Linked DNA regions of Macaca fascicularis. The protein of the gene in region 3 interacts with the protein of the main gene of each other region in a biochemical or structural test. Links are inferred from orthologs where the notes say so. Each region holds a gene or a part of one and is shown on either strand. Other genes may lie near its edges.

Evidence for each region.
Region 1: the proteins of SNW1 (region 3) and melanoma-associated antigen 1 form a complex in vitro, tested with the Homo sapiens proteins (2 studies listed by BioGRID). The link is inferred for Macaca fascicularis from reciprocal best matches to the Homo sapiens genes SNW1 and MAGEA1.
Region 2: the proteins of SNW1 (region 3) and NOTCH1 form a complex in vitro, tested with the Homo sapiens proteins (3 studies listed by BioGRID). The link is inferred for Macaca fascicularis from reciprocal best matches to the Homo sapiens genes SNW1 and NOTCH1.

What each region holds. Positions count from the first base shown.
Region 1 is NC_088395.1:159,218,225-159,222,971, reverse strand, and holds melanoma-associated antigen 1, read right to left. Parts: upstream 3,264-4,747; 5' UTR 3,232-3,263; coding exon 2,281-3,231; downstream 1-2,280.
Region 2 is NC_088389.1:2,814,447-2,820,489, forward strand, and holds the start of NOTCH1 (neurogenic locus notch homolog protein 1), read left to right. Parts: upstream 1-1,463; 5' UTR 1,464-1,718; coding exon 1,719-1,779; intron 1,780-3,377; coding exon 3,378-3,456; intron 3,457-6,043. UniProt on the Homo sapiens protein: Functions as a receptor for membrane-bound ligands Jagged-1 (JAG1), Jagged-2 (JAG2) and Delta-1 (DLL1) to regulate cell-fate determination.
Region 3 is NC_088381.1:145,712,482-145,720,120, forward strand, and holds the start of SNW1 (SNW domain-containing protein 1), read right to left. Parts: upstream 5,009-7,639; 5' UTR 4,980-5,008; coding exon 4,966-4,979; exon of another isoform or gene 4,602-4,965; intron 1-4,601. UniProt on the Homo sapiens protein: Involved in pre-mRNA splicing as component of the spliceosome. As a component of the minor spliceosome, involved in the splicing of U12-type introns in pre-mRNAs.

The sequences.
Region 1 (4,747 bases), on a different chromosome or scaffold from region 3:
GCCTTGGCAGAATCAACTCTCAAGGAACCCAGTGCACACCAGCCTCAAATGATGTTTGATTCTCACTGTCACCTTCCCCTGGTCTGTTTTTAGTACGTTGGCCTCGGGGTCTTTCTTTTTGTCACCAGAGACATATGGCACAGTGTTGAGAAGAGAAAGGAAGTAGTACTCAGGAGGTGGGCCACAGGCTGGGAGGAGTGGGAACAGCATGGGCTCTACAGGAATTCAGATCAGGGATCGGGTTCCAGCCCTGTCCCTTATTAGGCACGTGATCCTGGGAAATACCCAAGCCCTGCGTGCCTCTGGTTCTACATCTGTGTAGTAGGTGTGATTAGACCCTTCCGCTAGGACTGTTGGAGTGTGTGCATGCAAGTGAAGCAGCTGGTTCAGGGCCTGGAGTAAATTACAAGTTTAATGGATAGCAGGTGGCTGTTATTTCTAATATTATTTGAGCCCAGACCCTACCACTCTGGGATTTTGTTGTTGTTCTCCAGGACTTATCAGAGAATATACAACTTAATAGGACATGGAATAACTAACCAAAAAGGGAAGTTTCATTCCTAAAATTCAGTAAGTATTGCCTCTTAGAGAATGTACTTCAAAATTTGGGTGTGCGACTTCCCCTAGGCGGATACAGCTCAAAGATCGTAGAATTTGAGTCAAAAACCAACTCCTTTACTCTCTCCCACATACCTTTCCATCCAAACCACTATTTTCATTCATTTTGTCAACACACGAAATCTTGCTTACAACTGGCCAAATTGCACGTGAGATAACCTCATTAGAATGCCTTTTTAAGAGTCAGCTCTGGTCCTCCCAGCCAGGTAGAAAAGTGCCTGGCCAGTGGCTTCTGGATCTCCATTCCGGGGAGATTCACGCTTCTCTCTCAGGAAACGCTTTCGGACGATGGGTGTCCATCACCTAGCTCTTGCGCTGTGTTCAGAAGCAATGGGAAAAAAAAAAAAAAAAAAGCGCAGAACACTTTCCAATCCTGCCTAGGTGGAGACTCCTCTCTGTTTATCCACCGTCCAAAAGAAACTCCTCAGAGCAGCTTTCCAACTCAGGCTTTTCTCTCACCGTCTGAGAATCTGGCCCTGGATCCACCCAGGATCCTTACAATCAGCTCCCGCAGAAGGAACTGCAGTTTCCCAAAGCCCAAAATGCCCCAGCTCAGGACATTTACACTCTACCACTCTCACCTGGAGCCCCACACCCTCACTCTCTCTTACTTTTCCTCTACATCTTCAGAGGACATCTTGCCACCTTGATTGCGTGACTGCAGCTCTTAGACTCTACAACCCTATGGGTAGGCATGAGTCTGGCTTACCTTAGCATCTCCACTACTAACTCAGGGCCTTCCAAAAAGCAGCTGCTCAGTGCATGGAGAAGAAAGGAGCCAGTGAACAGGAAGAATTCTTTATTCAGATTTAATTTCTCCTACATTCTCAAAGCAGCCAAGGAAATCCAGGTATGCATATATCTTTAAAAATGTTACAGAATAGACTGAGGTATAAGGCAAGAATTGACTATCTCGGCCGGGCGCGGTGGCTCACGCCTGTAATCCCAGCACTTTGGGAGGCCGAGGCGGGCGGATCACAAGGTCAGGAGATCGAGACCACGGTGAAACCCCGTCTCTACTAAAAATACAAAAAATTAGCCGGGCGTGGTTGTGGGCGCCTGTACTCCCAGCTACTCGGGAGGCTGAGGCAGGAGAATGGCGTGAACCCGGGAAGCGGAGCTTGCAGTGAGCCGAGATCGCGCCACTGCACTCCAGCCTGGGCGACAGAGTGAGACTCCGTCTCAAAAAAAAAAAAAAAAAAAAAAAAAAAGAATTGACTATCTCTTAATTTCTTTAGTTCTTTATCTCATCTATTTTACTGCTCATTTTTCACATTTCTAAGTAAATACTTATTCCACTGCTGTTATTATCCCAATTCACAAAATAGAATGGATTTCCCAATCTGAATGAAACACAAGACTCTTACTACTCAACTATATACACGGCACTATGTGTGACTACTGTCATTCATAAACTTGGATGCTGAAGTTCATTCAACCATTCCTTAAAAGGAACACTTGAACAATTCCAAAAGAGAACAAAGATAAATCTCCAAGTCATCCAATAGAACAGAAACCTACTACTGAGAATGCTGACTGCTCTCTTCAAACAGAGTGAAGAATGGGCCTCACATCACACGAGGCAGGGAAAGCTGCTGGACACGGTCCTTGAAGGTGCACTAGCCCAGCCCCCCTCCCACTGGCCTTGGCTGCAACTCATGTTCAGACTCCCTCTTCATCCTCTCTCAAAGCTGCTCCCTCCTGTCTCAAAGCTGCTTCACGCAGGGATGGGAAGAAAAAGCGAACTCTTGCACTGACCTTGATCACATACTCAAGGACTTTCACATAGCTGGTTTCAGCGAGGGCCCTTGGACCCCACAGGAACTCATAGCGTGCAGGATCACTGTAGGGCACCTGCCGGTACTCCAGGTACTTTTCCTGCACCAAATCTTGGGTGAGCAGCTTCCTGGGCTCCCCATAGGCACTGTGCTCCCTCCCATCATACACCTCCATCACATTCAGCTCTTCCCAGATTTCCTCCTCAGGAGCACGGCCGCCCTCCATTGCAATCATAACCAGGATGATTATCAGGAAGCCTGTCTTGGGCATGATCTGATTATCACCCAGCAGGCCGTCATAGGAGAGCCCCAGGCAGGTGACAAGGACATAGGAGTGGCCGGTGGAGTCTGCTTCCTTCACGTCAATGCCAAAGACCAGTTGCAAGGACTCAGAGGCTTTGCCGAAGATCACAGGAAAGCAGTGCTTGTAATTTTTGATGACTCTCTCCAGCATTTCTGCCTTTGTGACCGGCTCCCTGGCTCGATACTTGAGGAGCAGAAAACGAACCAAATCAGCCACCTTCTTAGTGAGTACTGCTCGGAACAAGGACTCCAGGACACGCGAGGTGCTTGGCCCTTCTTCTTCATGGCTGCTGGAACTCTCATTGGGTTGCCTCCAGCGAGGGAAGTTGATGGTAGTGGGAAAGGCGGAGGCTCCCTGAGGAGTCTGGGGGGGATCTGTTGACCCAGCAGTAGGCACCTCCTCCAGGGTGCCCAGGACCAGAGGAGAGGAGGAGGAGGCGGCAGCCTGCACACACACCAGCCCCAGGGCCTCTTGTTGGGCCTCAAGGGCTTCCTCAGGCTTGTAGTGCAGACTCCTCTGCTCAAGAGACATGATGACTCTGGTCAGGGCAGCAGGCAGGAGTGTACAGGAGCTGGGCAATGAAGACCCACGGGCCTGGAGAGAGAGGGAGTGTGTGAGAGGCCTCAGCTGAGAACTGAACCTTGGAGACTCTAATAAAGGCCTACTTACAGATCTTCTCCTTGGTGCTCCTCTGTGGCCTCCAGGGAATCCTGTCCTCCAGGTTGGCCTGTCCCCTGAAAACCTGAAGGAGGAAGTGAGAGGGCACTCAGGGTACAGCCGGCCAGCAGAGGTCGATTCTACAGGACTGACGGTAGGGAGGTGAGGCCAGACTCTGTGGAGTTCCATGTGTCCTGCGGCAGGCGGGGCCCTTGGTGTGCATTCAGGGCAAACGTTGACTGCTGGCACAGCCTGTGCGTCCTCTGCTCTGTGATCTGAGGACACTGTCTCAAACCAAGGCCTCACTGCCTGGTTCTTGGAGCTCCTGGAAGAGGAATCCACGGGCCCTCAGGGTGCAGACTGCAAGCACAGCCCTGGGCCCTCAGTGCTATTAGGAGGGTGGGCTGGACTCTGTGACATCCCCACTCTCATGCGGTGGATGATCCCCTCTGTTCTCACGCAGGGCCCTTGCATTTTTCCTGGCAGGACCTGGATCCCACCCTTTTGCTGGTCTGAGAAATCCAAATAAAGAGCTCACATCCATGATAAGGAACAGAAAGACAGGAGGGGACCCACATCTGGCCACTCGGGCCTAGGTCCTCGGGGAAGGACAGCAAGAGATATCAAAATTCATTGGAATTAATGTGTCCTGGGTGAGGCGCCTGTTTGGTCCTCACCTTGACTCCTGGCAGGGCCTGGGACTCTCCCTCTACTGACCTGAGTGAAGCCTTCTCAGATCAAGGCCTCCCCCTCCCTGACATCAATGATCCCAAGATAAGAGAGGGACCTTGGCAGACGACCCAGCCCATGCTCTCTGGGGTGACAGCAGGGGCAGAGCTGATTTCTGTGCGGTCTCTGTCAGTGTTCTGGCCCTGGGGTATCCTCAATCCTCCCTCATGTTCCTCACCCAAATGCATGGCAGATCGTAGGACTGCTCTGTCTTTAGACCAGATGGGGGTCCCTATGTTGACCCGAGTCACCCTCTGAGAACAAGGTCCTCACCTCTCTGAGATCTGGAAACAGGAGTAAGAAGATGCCACACCCTGGGTGAAGTGTCCAGGGCTGACCCCTTTGGTTCTGGGGTGAGGATTCCAATAGCCTTGTCTGGCTCACTCATCTTTATTCCTGCCAAAGCCTGTGCTTCCTCAACCCCCAATTCCCTGAGATGGGTAGACATCCCCCCTTTACCCCAAGACCCCATCTCCTTGCGGGCTCCCCAACTTCCTGCCTGTGGTACAAGTGAGACTAGAACATACGGCCATCCCTGATCTGGTCCCCCTAGAGCTACAAAAAAGAAACAGCCATACTCTGTGGAGCCAGGGATATCCCCAGTCCTTGTGAAGGGGGCACATCTTGGGTTGTATGGATCCTGGAACTCCTTCCTCTGTTG
Region 2 (6,043 bases), on a different chromosome or scaffold from region 3:
TGGGAGCCGCACAGCCCCGCGCTTCCTTCTATGGAAAATCTGCTCCTCCAGGCTGCCGGGCTGCTGTTACATAAACATCTCTGCTGCCTCCAGACGCCTCCTCTCCTGGGGCGCTGACCCCGAGATGTTACCCCAGGCCTGGAGAAGTGAGGCCAGCTTCTGGGAGGACGCAGGCGAGGGAGGCTCCCAGCAGCAGCTACAGGGGGGGATAGGCCGTCTGCACTGGCTGTTTCCAGAGTGCTCAGCACTTGGCAAGAGGTGTGCCAGGAAAGGCTCGCTGGAGTCAGGTGTGAGATTTGTCCCGCTTTCTGTGCCTCCCTCTGCCACCATGCTCTGCGGTTTCTGCAGCCACTCCCCCAGGCTCCCGAGTCCTAGGTCCCTCTCAGCCTTTCAGTCTCCCTTCAGGGCAGGCATAGCCCTCCTACTCCAGGAGAGCCCCCAGCGCCTTCTGCCATCGCACTCACCACCCTGTGTTGGAGTGGGGAGGGGGCGCTGTTTGTCCCCAGCACGAGGCTGTGAACTTTGCGCAGGGACTATGGCAGGCATTTTGGACTCCTGGCGCTTAACCAGGCTTGGCACAGGGTGCCCGTGCCTGGCATCGTGGTGGAGAAATAAATCAGCCGGAAGGGGCACGTGGGAGGGGCTGCGCCGGCGCCAGCGGCAGATCCGCCCGACCCGTTTGTGCTTTCTGGGGCCACCTTAGGCAGGCGGCGCCCCGGCAGGAGGAGGACGGTGACCGAGGAGCATGTCGACGCGGGTCCCCCCTGGGGCAGCGGGGCGCAATACGTCCGCGAGGCACTGGTCCAGGCTGCTCCCTTGGGGCGCCCTAAACTCCCTGCCCTGAGGCCGCTGCGCCCCCATCCCTCGCGGTCAAGTGCTCAGGCAATCACGGCCAGGGGTGTCTGGCGGCGATCGATCCTCTGGACGCCTAAAGCCGCAGCCACGGGGCCCTGGGGAGGGAGAGAAGCCGCTGGGCTAGGGGCGCACCCACGGCTAGGCCACTTCTCCCAAAGCCCTGCCCCGGGCCCGGGGTCCCCCAACGTGGCCTCAGCTGCTCCCCGCCCGGCCCAGAGCACGGTGGACACAGCTGCCTGCGGCCTCGCCCTCCCTACTCCACCCCGGGCTCCTCCGCTTATTCACATGCAAACTTCCGTCGCCAATTGTCGCCGAGCGCGGCAACGGCCAGAGCCGGATCCTTCCGCAGCCCCGGCTCAAACTTTTGGCCTCTGAAAACTTTCAAACGAGAAGTAGTCCCAGGCGCCCGCTCCCGACCCACGCCGCGCCGCCGGGTCCCTCCTCCCCGGAGAGGCTGGGCTCGGGACGCGCGGCTCAGCTCGGGGAGGCGCAAAGGCGGACCCAGCGCGCGGGAGGAGGCGGCCGCGGAGGGGGCGGGGGGACCGGTGGGGGCGGGGCCGGGCGGGGCGGGGCCGGTGGGGGCGGAGCGCACCTCGACTCTGAGCCTCACTAGTGCCTCGGCCGCGGGAGGGAGCGCAGGGGCGCGGGGCGCGGGGCGCGGGTGCGAGCGCAGCGAAGGAACGAGCCAGGCGCGGAGACGGGCCCGGGAGCCCGCGGGAGCACAGCGCCAACTGCCAGCCGGGGAAGAGAGGGCGGGACTGTCCGCCGCCGCCCCGGGACCGTCCGCCGCGCGTGTGCGTCCCAGCCCCGCCGGCCAGCGCAGGAGGCCGCCGTCCGGGCGCAGAGGGCAGCGGGGGGGAGGCATGCCGCCGCTCCTGGCGCCCCTGCTCTGCCTGGCGCTGCTGCCCGCGCTCGCCGCACGAGGTAGGCGCCCACCCACCCGCGAGCCCCCACTTTCCGCGCTCTTTGGAAACGGCAGCGCCCGGCGCACGCGCCCCGTGGCTGGGAGCGGGCGTGGAGAGGGAAAAGCGGGCGGCCCGGGGCGTGGGGTTCTTGGAGTCCCGGGCTGGGGGAGGACCGACCCTCCCCCTCGATCCCCCCGTGGAGGCGGACTCGCGCCGCCCGTGCCTGGAGCCGAGTTTGGAGGCCGGCGTGAGGTGCTGGGGTCCCGGAGGCCCTACCCGGGCCCGCCCTTCACCCGCCGCGCGTGGGGCTTGCCGCCGGTCGGCCGGGCGGGCGGGCTGCCTACTACTTTTCGATTTGAATAGAGTCGGTTTTGGTTTCCTGTTGCTTCTCCGGGCCATTTATCTTCTTTCTTCTTCGCTTCTGGCCCACGCCGGGGCGGATGTTGGGGCGCGGAGTGTGGGCTCCGCGGCGCCGCGTTCGCCTTCACTGACCCGCGCGGCCCGGCTGGGGCCCCGGGCTCCCGGTCGCCCCGCCCGCCGGTGCCCCCCAGCCCAGCTCTCAGTTTGGGGGAGGGGTTTGCGTAAGAAGCCTTCGTGCCGGGGGGCACTGAACTTTTCCTTTTGCTTTGCAGAGTTGAAGTTTGGAGAGCTTGGGGGTGGAGAGCGGGACGCGGGTGGGGGGCTCTTACATCTCTCCTCGCCGCACATCGAGGGGGGTCTCTGGGGAATCGAGTGATTAATCCACTCTTTCTCCGGGAGTTGCAGGCGAGAATTATTTGTTCTCTTCCAGAAAGTGCTGCTCTATGTCACACCACCCTCCCCCGTTTCTCAGCCCCCTAAGATGGGGAGGGAGGGGCTTGAGTAATTGATCCCTTCTCGAGATGGGGTCGAATTCCTTCCGAATGGGGGACCTTCATCCCCCTCCTGTGTGTGTTTGGGGGCTGCCCTAGAGATGCGCGCCCGCGGGAGCAGGTATTGGGTGTCGGCGGAGGCGGGGCCGGGTCTCCGGGGTGCAGTCCTGGTGCCCCTGGAGGCGGCCCCGACTCCACAATGGGCCGCTCTGATTCTGAGGCGGAGGCCGGCGCTTTGTTGGCGGGCGGGGCAGCGGGCGAGCAGCTGTCGCATTTTCCCACGGGCGGGAGCTGAGTGTGGCCACCCCCCCTTCCCGCCGTCCAGCTCTGCCCCCTTGCAGAACGGGTTTGAACAGAGGCAATCTCGGCGGCTGGATGGGGGGCCCTGCTCTGCCAGCCTCCCCAGTGAGCCTCTGGGGTGGGGGGCAACGCTTGGGAGAGTAGCCCACTTTGTCTCTGCTTTTACCCCACTGCGTCCAGGCGGCACGTCAGGCCACCCCATCCTGCTTCAAGCAGGACGTGTTCCCTGCTGCTCCTCTTCCCCCCATTTCTGACTACAGAACTCTGGGCAGAATGTTGACGCCCTTTGGTTTCATGGTGGGGCTTCCTGTGGTCCCCTGCCCTGGTAACCCATGTCACTGAGTAGAGGCGTCCAGGGTCGGGGGAGGACAGTGCCCCTCGGCTGGGTGCGGGTCCCACCCCCAGGGTAACAAGGGCCTTCGGTGGTGCGGGTGAGACTGACCTCTCTTCTCCTGCCCCTGCCTAGGCCCGCGGTGCTCCCAGCCGGGTGAGACCTGCCTGAATGGCGGGAAGTGTGAAGCGGCCAATGGCACGGAGGCCTGCGTGTGAGTACCACCCCTGCGGGACCTGTTGCTTTGTTGAGGGCAGAGCCCCTGCCTTCTGCAGCCGCGCTGGGGACAGAACCCTGGGGCATTGTCTTCTGGAGATGGCCCAGAGTCTGGGCACGGTCACGTGCTGACTTTTATTGGACAAAGTCTGGCAATTACTTAATCACCAGCAATTATGCTGCGTGTGGAGCTGGTCTGACTGCTGGGGGCTTAGGCACTCCTCTGTGGGCCACCTCAGGCTCCTGGGTTACTAAGTGGGAGTCCCAGGACCCCAATTCTTCTTAAAGTCCCCAAGAAACAGTTGATCTGTCAGGGGAAGCTCTGGACCATTTACTGAGAAGCCCAGACCCCACCACCCTGCCAACTTGGGGCACCTCCTCTGGGCGGGTGATGCCTCCTGGGCAGGTGATGATGCCTCCTGGGCACAGGTGATGCCTCCTCTCCAGGGGTGATGCCTCCTGGGTGGGTGGTGATGCCTCTTGGGCTGGTGGTGATGCCTCCTCTTGATGGGTGATGCCTCCTCTGGGCACAGGTGATGCCCCCTGGGTGGGTGATACCCTCTATGGGTGGGTGATGCCTTCTGGGCTGGTGGTGATACCTCCTGGGCACAGGTGATGCCTCCTGGGCTGGTGGTGATGCCTCCTCTGGGTGGGTGATGCCTCCTTTGGGCACAGGTGATGCCACCTCTGGGTGGGTGATGCCCCCTCTGGGCGGGTGATGCCTCTTTGAAGGAAATTGACCCTTCACAATTGGACCCGCCTTTGGGCTCTTGTTTGCCCCAGCTCCCTCCTCCCGGCCTCAGGCTGGGGCTGGGGAAGAGAAGGCGGAACTCATCTTTTGGCGCGGGGTGTGGGGTAATTATTGAGTCTGGTTTCTGTCCTGGCATCTGCAAACTCTGACCTCCAAATCCCGTGGCCCTTTTGGTCTGCCAGGCTCAGATGTAAAATGGGCATGGAGGGGGCTGGGAAGTCGCGGGGAACCGCTCCCTCCTGCCTGCCTGTGAGTGCCAGTCGGCGGTGGGGAACTGTTCTGCTGTGGCCGATGCCCTTCAACTTGAGTCCATCCCTGATGAGAATAATGAGGAGGTGTTTGGTGGCTGGAAAAAGAGTTCCCTCCGCCCCCCAGGAGCTACAGATGAAGAAATGGCTCCCCAGCCAGTCTGGGCGCCCTCATTCCAACTGTAGAAGGTCCCATTCCCTTGACAACCCCAGCCCGGCTCCTGCCTGCGCCGACTGCCCAGCCTGTGGGCAGCAGCCCCCCTCCCTCCCCGGCCCCCACCCTCCCCAAACTGAAGCCAATTAAGCAGGTCCGTGAGCAGTTTAATGGACAAAGCCGGCTGTGTCTTTGTCAGACACTAATGAATGCGCACACTACTTTTTTTTTTTTTTTTTTTTTTTGCTTTTTGGGGCCCCCTTCTCCCCCTGCAGAAGCCGCACGGACGCTTGATGCCCTAAATCTTGTTTCCTTTCATTCAGAGACCGACAGCTGGGATCCAGGGGAAGTGCAGCAGCTATTGTTGGGGGAGGCGGATTAATGCCGTGTGATTAATTATGCGTGGCTTCCCAGAATGTATAACCCCGTTCCCCGCCACCGCGCTCCCGGCTCGGACTTTGCCTCCACCCATTCAGGTCTCTGGGAGAAGCTTCTTGCTCCTGCAGAGGACTTTGGGAGGGTGGGAGGAATGCCGTGCTGGGAAAATTGGGGGCCTGTTGCTTCTTCTCAGTGGCACTAGGCAGTAGGAACAGCTTGGCCCACAGGGATCTGGGACTGAGGTCTCCACAGGCCAGAGGGCTGTGCTTTGGGGTACAGATGGCTGCAGCTCCCTGATGTCTGGGCCAAAACCCTGCCACAGGGCCGCAAAACACTTGTGTCATGGGCCCACTCTCCCATTCCCCAAACCTGGGATCCTGGTGAGCTGTTTCCTGCCCAAGGCAGGCCACTGACCAGGGCTTTGGTGCCTGGCCTTGTCCCCTTCGCTGGGGCCTGGCGCCCCCTCCTTCTTGGCGGGAAGCCTGCTTCAGTTTGGCCTGACAGGCAGCCGAGCTCAGCCCACAGAGACCCCATTGTGCACACCCCACAAGTCCAACGAGAAGATGGGACGGAAGTGCGTCCTCAGGCTCCCGCCTCTGGGCTGCAGGGTTGGAGGCCAGGGCCACAGCCGGGCCCGGCTTGCGGAGGCACAGGTCAGGGCTCACCCAGCAGTTTGGGGAGCATTGCGGCCGCTTCCTCCCTGGCCTTGAGCCCCACCCAACGTACACCCCTCAGGCGCCTCCGCCTTCCCATTCCTGCTTGTCCTTCTCAGAAGGCCCAGGAGGTCTGTCCAGGAGTTGGCCAGGGCACCTGCAGGAAGCCTGGCTCTCCCAGCAAGGGGAGAAACCCACACTGTTTCTCGAAAGCATTTGGGGTGCAGGCTTTTGGAGCCCTGCCAGCCTGCGTGTGAATCCCGGCCCCGTGGTATCCAGCTGTGAGCCCGGAAAGAGCTTTGATTTTTGGTGCCAGTTGCTACTTCTGCTGTAGAAGGGGCCTGGTCTTGCTGGGGGTTACAGTGCCTGGCACACTAGTACTGGGTGAATCATTTCTTTCC
Region 3 (7,639 bases):
AGTAGAGACAGGGTTTCACCATGTTGGCCAGGTTGGTCTCGAACTCCTGACCACAGATGACCTGCCTGCCTCGGCCTCCCAAAGTGCTAGGATTACAGGTGTGAGCCACCACACTCAGCCTGTTTCCATATTTCTTATAACAAGCAAGTAAACATTCCTAAAAATCCAGGGATAAACTGTCCAGTATATACTTGCTATTCTTATACTCCTTTTATTTTTTTTGAGACAGAGTCTCGTGCTGTTGCCCAGCCTCGAGTGCAGTGGAGCAAACTCGGCTCACTGAAACCTCTGTCTCCTGGATTCATGTGATTCTCATGCCTCAGTCTCCCAAGGAGCTGGGATTACAGGTGCGTGCCACCACACCCCTAATTTTTGTATTTTTAGTAGAGACAGGTTTTTGTCATGTTGGCCCATGTTGGTCAGGCTGGTCTCAAACTCCTGACCTCAAGTGATCCATCAGCCTCACCCTCCCAAAGTACTAGGATTACTGGCATGAGCCACCATGCCTGGCTACTCCTTATTTTTAACATTTTTACCCTTATGCTCCTTAAACTACTTCAGTGTAAATACAAAAGAACTAGGATTAGAACAAAGAGGTAGCTAAAATAAACACGAGTTGTATATTTAAGTGCCAAGGGAATCTAGAATGAAATTTAAAACTTAGAGGCCAGGCCAGCCATGGTGGCTCACACCTGTAATCCCAGCACTTTGGGAGGCCGAGGTGGGTGGATCACCTGAGGTCAGGAGTTCAAGACCAGCCTGACCAACATGGTGAAACCCTGTCTCTACTAAAAATACAAAATTAGCCGGGCGTGATGGTGCGTGCCTGTAATCCCAGCCACTTGGGAGGCTGAGGTAGGAGAATCACTTGAACCCGGTAGGTGGAGGGTACAGTGAGCCAAGATTGCGTCATTGCACTCTAGCCTGGGCAACAACAGCAAAACTCCTTCTAAAACAAACAAACAACAACAAAAAAAAACCTTAAGAGACCAAAGAATCAAAGCAGAAGCCCTGAAGATGCAGCTTATTCTTTAGTCAAGGTAACCTTTCTACTAAACTGTTCTTAACAACTTTTAAGTATTAAAGTATTATAGTGATACTCTAAAGTACTACAAAAGGATCCTGATGGCTGAATATGGAGAAAACAACCTTAGTTCCTTTGTGATTCTTGGATAGGAAGCATACCTAAGTAGCAGAGCTTATTAATTATTCAAAAATATTTATTATTTGGGTTCAAGCACTATGCTAGGCATGAGACTATAAACGGAGTCTTGCAGAGACAGAGAACAAAAAAAAAAAATCACACAAATCTATAATTACACATGTTAAGTTATGATGTTAAGATACTAAGATGCTATGAGTCTACATGATAGGGATCTAATCCAGTCTGGGGCGGTAAGTGATGGCTAGGCTTAGATTTCAGATCTGACCTATGCCACTTACTAACCTGGATAAGCTACTTACCTCTCTGAATCTGTTTTCTCATCTGTAATAATAGTTCATAAGAGTATCTACTTCATAAGGTTCTTATAAATATTAAATGAGAGAAATCCATGAACCTGTTGGCATAGTATCTAGGCACTTTCAATACAGGTTCCGTATGTTTGATAGTTTTAGGGCTGTACCATGACTCTTCCAGTTTGGGTTAAATGCCCGTCTCTATGCTCCCCTACAACCCTCTATATACCACTACTACAACATTATCTTACTGTACTGCAATCATCTACTCATTTATCTACTCTGTTTTCACAAGACTGTGAGCAGCTCTGCAGGAATCACACCTTATACTTCTTTCATCCCTAATGCTCCAAGACTTTTAACTTCACAGCTGGAGCTCCTTAAATGCTGTAGGAGAAATAAATACACTCTTCCCCGGCACTCACCATCTTCATTTCGCTATAGCCTTCTTATCTTACCTTAAGCCATCTCAGGATCTTTACATTGGCTATTCCTTCTGCCATAAAATCTATCTGTCTGTCTGTCTCAATCGATTACAGTTTTTCCGGCTGGGCGAGGTGGCTCACACCTGTAATCCCAACACTTTGGGAGGTCAAAGCAGGTGGATTACTTGAGGCCAGGAGTTCAAGACCAGCCATGCCAACATAGTGAAGCCCTGTCTCTACTAAAAATACAAAAATTAGCCAGGCATGGTGGCGGATGCCTGTAATCCCAGCTGAGGCAGGAAAATCACTTGAACCTGGGAGGTGGAGTTTGCAGTGAGCTGAGATTGCTCCACTGCACTCCAGCCTGGGTGAGAGTGAGACTCTGCCTCAAAAAACAAAACAAAACAAAACAAAACATAACCAAAAAAACAAAAACGAAAACACAGAACAAATTTTCGTATGCTTTTATAGAAAACTCTTCTCCAGATGTCTTCTTCTGTGACTGCTCCTTGAGGAGCAGGGCTATCCCATAGGCAGTATGCCTAGAGTAGCCCCAGATCTTTCAACAGCTTGCATCTTAGCACTCATGTCTCTGCTCAGTTACCTCTCTCTAGAGCTGTTTTCTGACCATCTTACCCAAAATAGCCACTTCACCCCAAACTTTGAGTCACTCTCTAACCCTCTTTTATTCCTAGCGTGTATTACCTGAAATTGCATTATGATTTTACTCATAGTCTTTCTATCCCAGTAGAATGTAAGCTCCATGTGGATAGAGTATAAAATTAAAACAAATTCAGTTTCTCCTATTATTTCACTCAACAATCAACAACACACAACACTTCTGATACCAGATACATGATGGTTTTTCCCCACGTATCAAGCAAGCTATCAATTGTTTACTGGACACCAGTCAAGTGTCCTCTAATTCAATTCATTTTTGATGTTATCTACCTGGAGATAGTGTCAGATGTCACAGGTCGAGGGCTCAGTCCCTCAAGACTGCCCTTACTTCAGATGCCAATAGTAGGTCCAGGTCACCGGCCAACTGACTACAAACCAGGGTTCCCATGACCTCATCCTCAGGTTCAACTAATTTGCTAGGGTAGCTCACAGAACTCAGGGAAATGCGTTTACTGGTTTAAAGGATGTTACAAAGAATACTGAGGAACCCCAGATGGTAGGTATGGAAAGCTCTGGAGTCCCCAAGACTGGTCATTTGAATACTGCATTCTGCCATTGCAATTTTAAGCACACAATACCCATGACAGGCCACACGATGTGGTGGCTGAGATGGGTGGATCACCTAAGCCCAGTTCAAGAACAGGCTGGGCAACATGGCAAAACCCCACCTCTACTAAAAAACCAAAAATTAACTGGGCATCAAGGCAAGCGTCTATAGTCCCAGCTACTCTGAGGCAGGAGGATCACCTGAGCCTTGGGAGGTTGAAGATGCAGTGGGCTGTGATTGGGTCACTGCACTCCAGCCTGGGCAAGAGTGAGACCCTGCATCAAAAAATAAAATAAAAAAATACCCATCACATCTCTAGAAATTTTTCCTGTGTGTCCATTTCAAATTCCACCTTTTCCACTAAGTCTCCCCTCATAACTTTACTAGTCTATGACACAGTGTCTCACACCTGGAGGGTACTCAAATGTTTGCTGCCTGTAACATTTACTAAAGAAAAAACTCTTGGCTGGGCATGGTAGCTCATGCCTGCAATCCCAGCAGTTTGGGAAGCCTAGGTGAGAAGACTGATGGAGGCCAGGAGTTGAAGACCACCCTGGCCAACGCAGTGACACCCCATTTCTAGCTTTTTATTAAAAAAAAAAATTCAGATGCCGGGCATGGTGGCTCACGCCTGGCACTTTTGGAGGCCGAAACAGGAGGACTGCTTTGAGGCCAAGAGTTAAAGACCAACCTGGCCAACACAGCAAGACTCCATCTCAAAAAAATAGTTTTTTTAAAAAAAAGGCAAAAAAATTTTTAGAAAGGAGAGGGGAAAGAAAACTCTCCAGCCCACACAACTTATTCCATCTAATTCTTTTTGCACTAAGGTTAGTATAACACAAATGTGCATTTTGTGTTCTGTGATTGTTTTATGTCTGTATACCTTGTACCCCATCTTCCCTGTTGCCAAAGACAGATTTTCTTCTGTGTACACAATCCCCAGGACAGAGCAAAGCACCAACAGTAATTCCCAAAGTAAGTTTTTGGATTCATACTGTCATCAGCCAGAAAAAAACAAAAAAAACAAAAAAACATGCGTGAGGAGAATGAAGGGTGTTAAGAGGGCTCAAGTTGATGTCCTAAAAGGACTACTTTCTCTACAACCTTCCTGAACACTAGACTTTTCCTGTTCAGTTCGCATGGAAAGTTTTCCCACTTAAGGTGGGGCAGCAAGGTTGGGGACTAGCAGGGGTAGCGTAACTTCTCGGACTCTCCCACTGGAAAGCATCTTTTTCTTAAAGGCAAGGAGCACTTTACAGACAGTTACTAAGGTAACCGAAAACAGCAAAACTCTGAGGTGGTTCTATCTACGGAAGAAATTCTAAGCTCCAAAGTTAAAGTGCGGAGCAGTGGCGCATATCAGCAGACAGCTGCCACTAGTGTGGCTCATTTAAATCTCTGTTCAGCTCCGGGTCCCTTTTTTCAGGAATCCTTGTTTCGGGACACAGGCAAACGGCCGGAAAGCCGCGCAGTCGCAGCCCGTGCGCTTCACTCCGCCCAAATAAGCCACTACCGTCCCCAACCCCTTCTTGTTCGCCCGAGCCGCGGACCTGAGGGAGCGTTGTTCGCTCCCCGCAAGATGCTTAAGCGAAAAATGCAGTCTTCAGTGTCTGAGGCCACGCCGCGGCTTTCGGCCTCGGTGAGGGGTGAACTAAACCCGGGAAACCGCGGAAAGACCCCAGCTTCGACTAGGCCTAGTCGTAGCGGCGGCCAGCGGGAGGACGTAGCCGTAGTTTTGGCCCACGTCATTCTGTGCCCCGGGTCAGGTCACCGCCCCAAGAGTATGGGAAGAGAAATGAAAAAGATTGGTACTCCCAGACCCTTCCGTATCGAGGACCCCAATCAACAACCCACCTGGTGAGCGCCATCTTCTTCCGCTTCTTCCAGCGCGAGCGACAGCACCGCGGGGCGGGTCTTTCCAGATGATGAGGAGCGGAAAGGAAGGAGCGCGCGATGCGCAGGCGCTCTGGCCGAAAGGCCTTCTGGGATTTGTAGTTCTTTGAACGTGAGTACCATTCGTTTCTATTCTGACCGGACCAAGCGGTTATCAAGGAATAATCTCTTCAGCTAGCAACAAATACATAACTCGATCGCTTATATGCGACATGATAGGGCGTTCCCTAGGCCAAATATCAAAGATAGAGGGAGATGCTGTTTAGGCCGCTTTATTACGTTCCTTACTCAGCCCCATTCCCCCAGAAAGGGTACAAAATACAAAAGCTTCCCCGGGACAGCTACTGTAAGTGAAAGGGTGATAGGGAGTTTAAAACGATAGGTAATAGTGAGACTGGCTAATGGAGAGTTCTTGGACTCTGAAAACATTCATACTCAAAACTTTTCTTTAAACCGTATCCTCTTACCACCCAAAACAATCTCCTGGGGAGATATTTTGTAATCCTTGGTAATTTACCGAGCGTCTGGGTTCCCTGCCCAGGGTATGACAAGGCTGAAATCTCATAGGAGGCTCTGGAGAAAAATCCATCTTCTAATTCATTCTTGTTTGCAGAAATCAGTTCCTGGCGGTTGTGGGATCGACTTCCCTGTTTTGTTGTGTGCTGCTAGTGGTGGCCACCCTCAGCTCCTAGGGATCACTCTCAACTCCTTCCCACATGAACCCTATTTATTGGTAGTTCACAACATGGATGTTTGCTTGCTCCCGGGCCAGCTGAAGCACATCTTTCTGTCTCCTCTTCTGCCACCGTTGGAGAAAAAATGCTCTGCTTTTAAAGGGCTCGTGTGATTAGATCAGGCTCACCTGGATAATCTCCCTGTTTTGAGATCAACTCTTGGCCGGGCGCGGTAGCTCACACCTGTAATCCTAGCACTTTGGGAAGCCGGGGCGGTCGGATTGTCTGAGCTCAGGAGTTCCACACTAGCCTGGGCAACATGGTGAAACTCTGTCTCTACTAAAAATACAAAAATTATCTGGGTGTGGTGGTGTGCTCCTGTAGTCCCGGCTACTCGGGAGGCTGAGGCAGGAGAATCGTGTGAATCGGGAGATGGAGCTTGCAGTGAGCCGAGATCACGCCACTGCACTCCAGCCTGGCGACAGAGTGAGACTCCGTCTCAAAAAAAAAAAAAAAAAAAAAAAAAAAAAAAAAAGCTGGGTGTGGTGGTGTGCTCCTGTTTTCCCAGCTACTAGGGAGGCTGAGATACAAGAATTGCTTTAACCCAGGAGGTGGAGGTTGCTGTGAGCCGAGATGGCATCATTGCACTCCAGCCTGCGTGACAGTAAAATTCTGTCTCCAAAAAAAAAAAAAAAAGATCAACTCTGCCACACCGCATAACAGAATCAGGGGAGTGATCTCTCTTCATAGTCACGGCCCCAGGGGTTATGTAGGTCATGTACTGTGGGGGTGGGGTGAGGAGGAGATCTTGGAGGATATCCTGGAATTCTGCCTGCCACAGCATGTAAACCAAAAACACTTTTGGTAAATACAGGATTATTCATCACATTGTGTAATATAACATGCATGGCCTGGGAGCCTGAAGATTAGAGTTTAAGATGTAGCTTTGGCCGGTTATGGTGGCTTGTGCCCATAATCCCAGCACTTTGGGAGGCGGAGGCAGGCAGATCACCTGAGGTCGGGAGTTCGAGACCAGCATGACCAACATGGAGAAACTCCGTCTCTACTAAAAATACAAAATTAGCCGGGCATAGTGGTGCATGCCTGTAATCCCAGTACTCGGGAGGCAGAGGCAGGAGAATCGCTTGAACTCAGGAGGCGGAAGTTGTGGTGAGCTGAGATTGCACCATTGCACTCCAGCCTTGGCAACAAGAGCAAAATGCTGTCTCAAAAAAAAAAAAAAAAAAAAGAAAGATGTAGCTTCAGCACCAATAAATTCTTTTTTTTTCGTAGCTGTAATTTTTTTAATTTTTTTTATTATTATTATACTTTAAGTTTTAGGGTACATGTGCATAACGTGCAGGTTTGTTACATACGTATACTTGTGCCATGTTGGTGTGCCGCACCCACCAACTCGTCAGCACCCATAGCACCAATAAATTCTTATAGGGCAAGTCATTTAATTTATTTGGGCCCCGGTTTTATTGAACTTAAAATGCGATCATGTTATCTGCTTTATCTATATTTATATAAATGTAAAATAATTATATATAATACAGCAGAGTATGAGCCTTAAATGAGGTAATGTAGGTGGATATGTTTTTACTTAATTCTTAAGTTCTATGTAAATATGTTAGTTATTACAGTTAATATTTTGGTTGACAGTGATCTACTTTAACCTCTGCTCCAGGAATGTATTATTTGTAAAAGGAGAAAAACAGAGAAGCAAATTATAGAACGTCCTGGAAGCCAAGATCAAGGAGCTTAGATTTAATTCAGCAGGTGATTTGCAGCTGAAGAAGGACTTAAGTAGAGGGCCTGGGTCAAAGGAATAGGCAAGAAAGACATTCTTAAGGCAGAATGGGTTTCTATGGCAATGAGAGACAAAGGAGGCTACTGAGGACAAGGTTAAAATAATTAACATGGGAAATCAGTAAGACATAGACCAAGACCTATGCAGG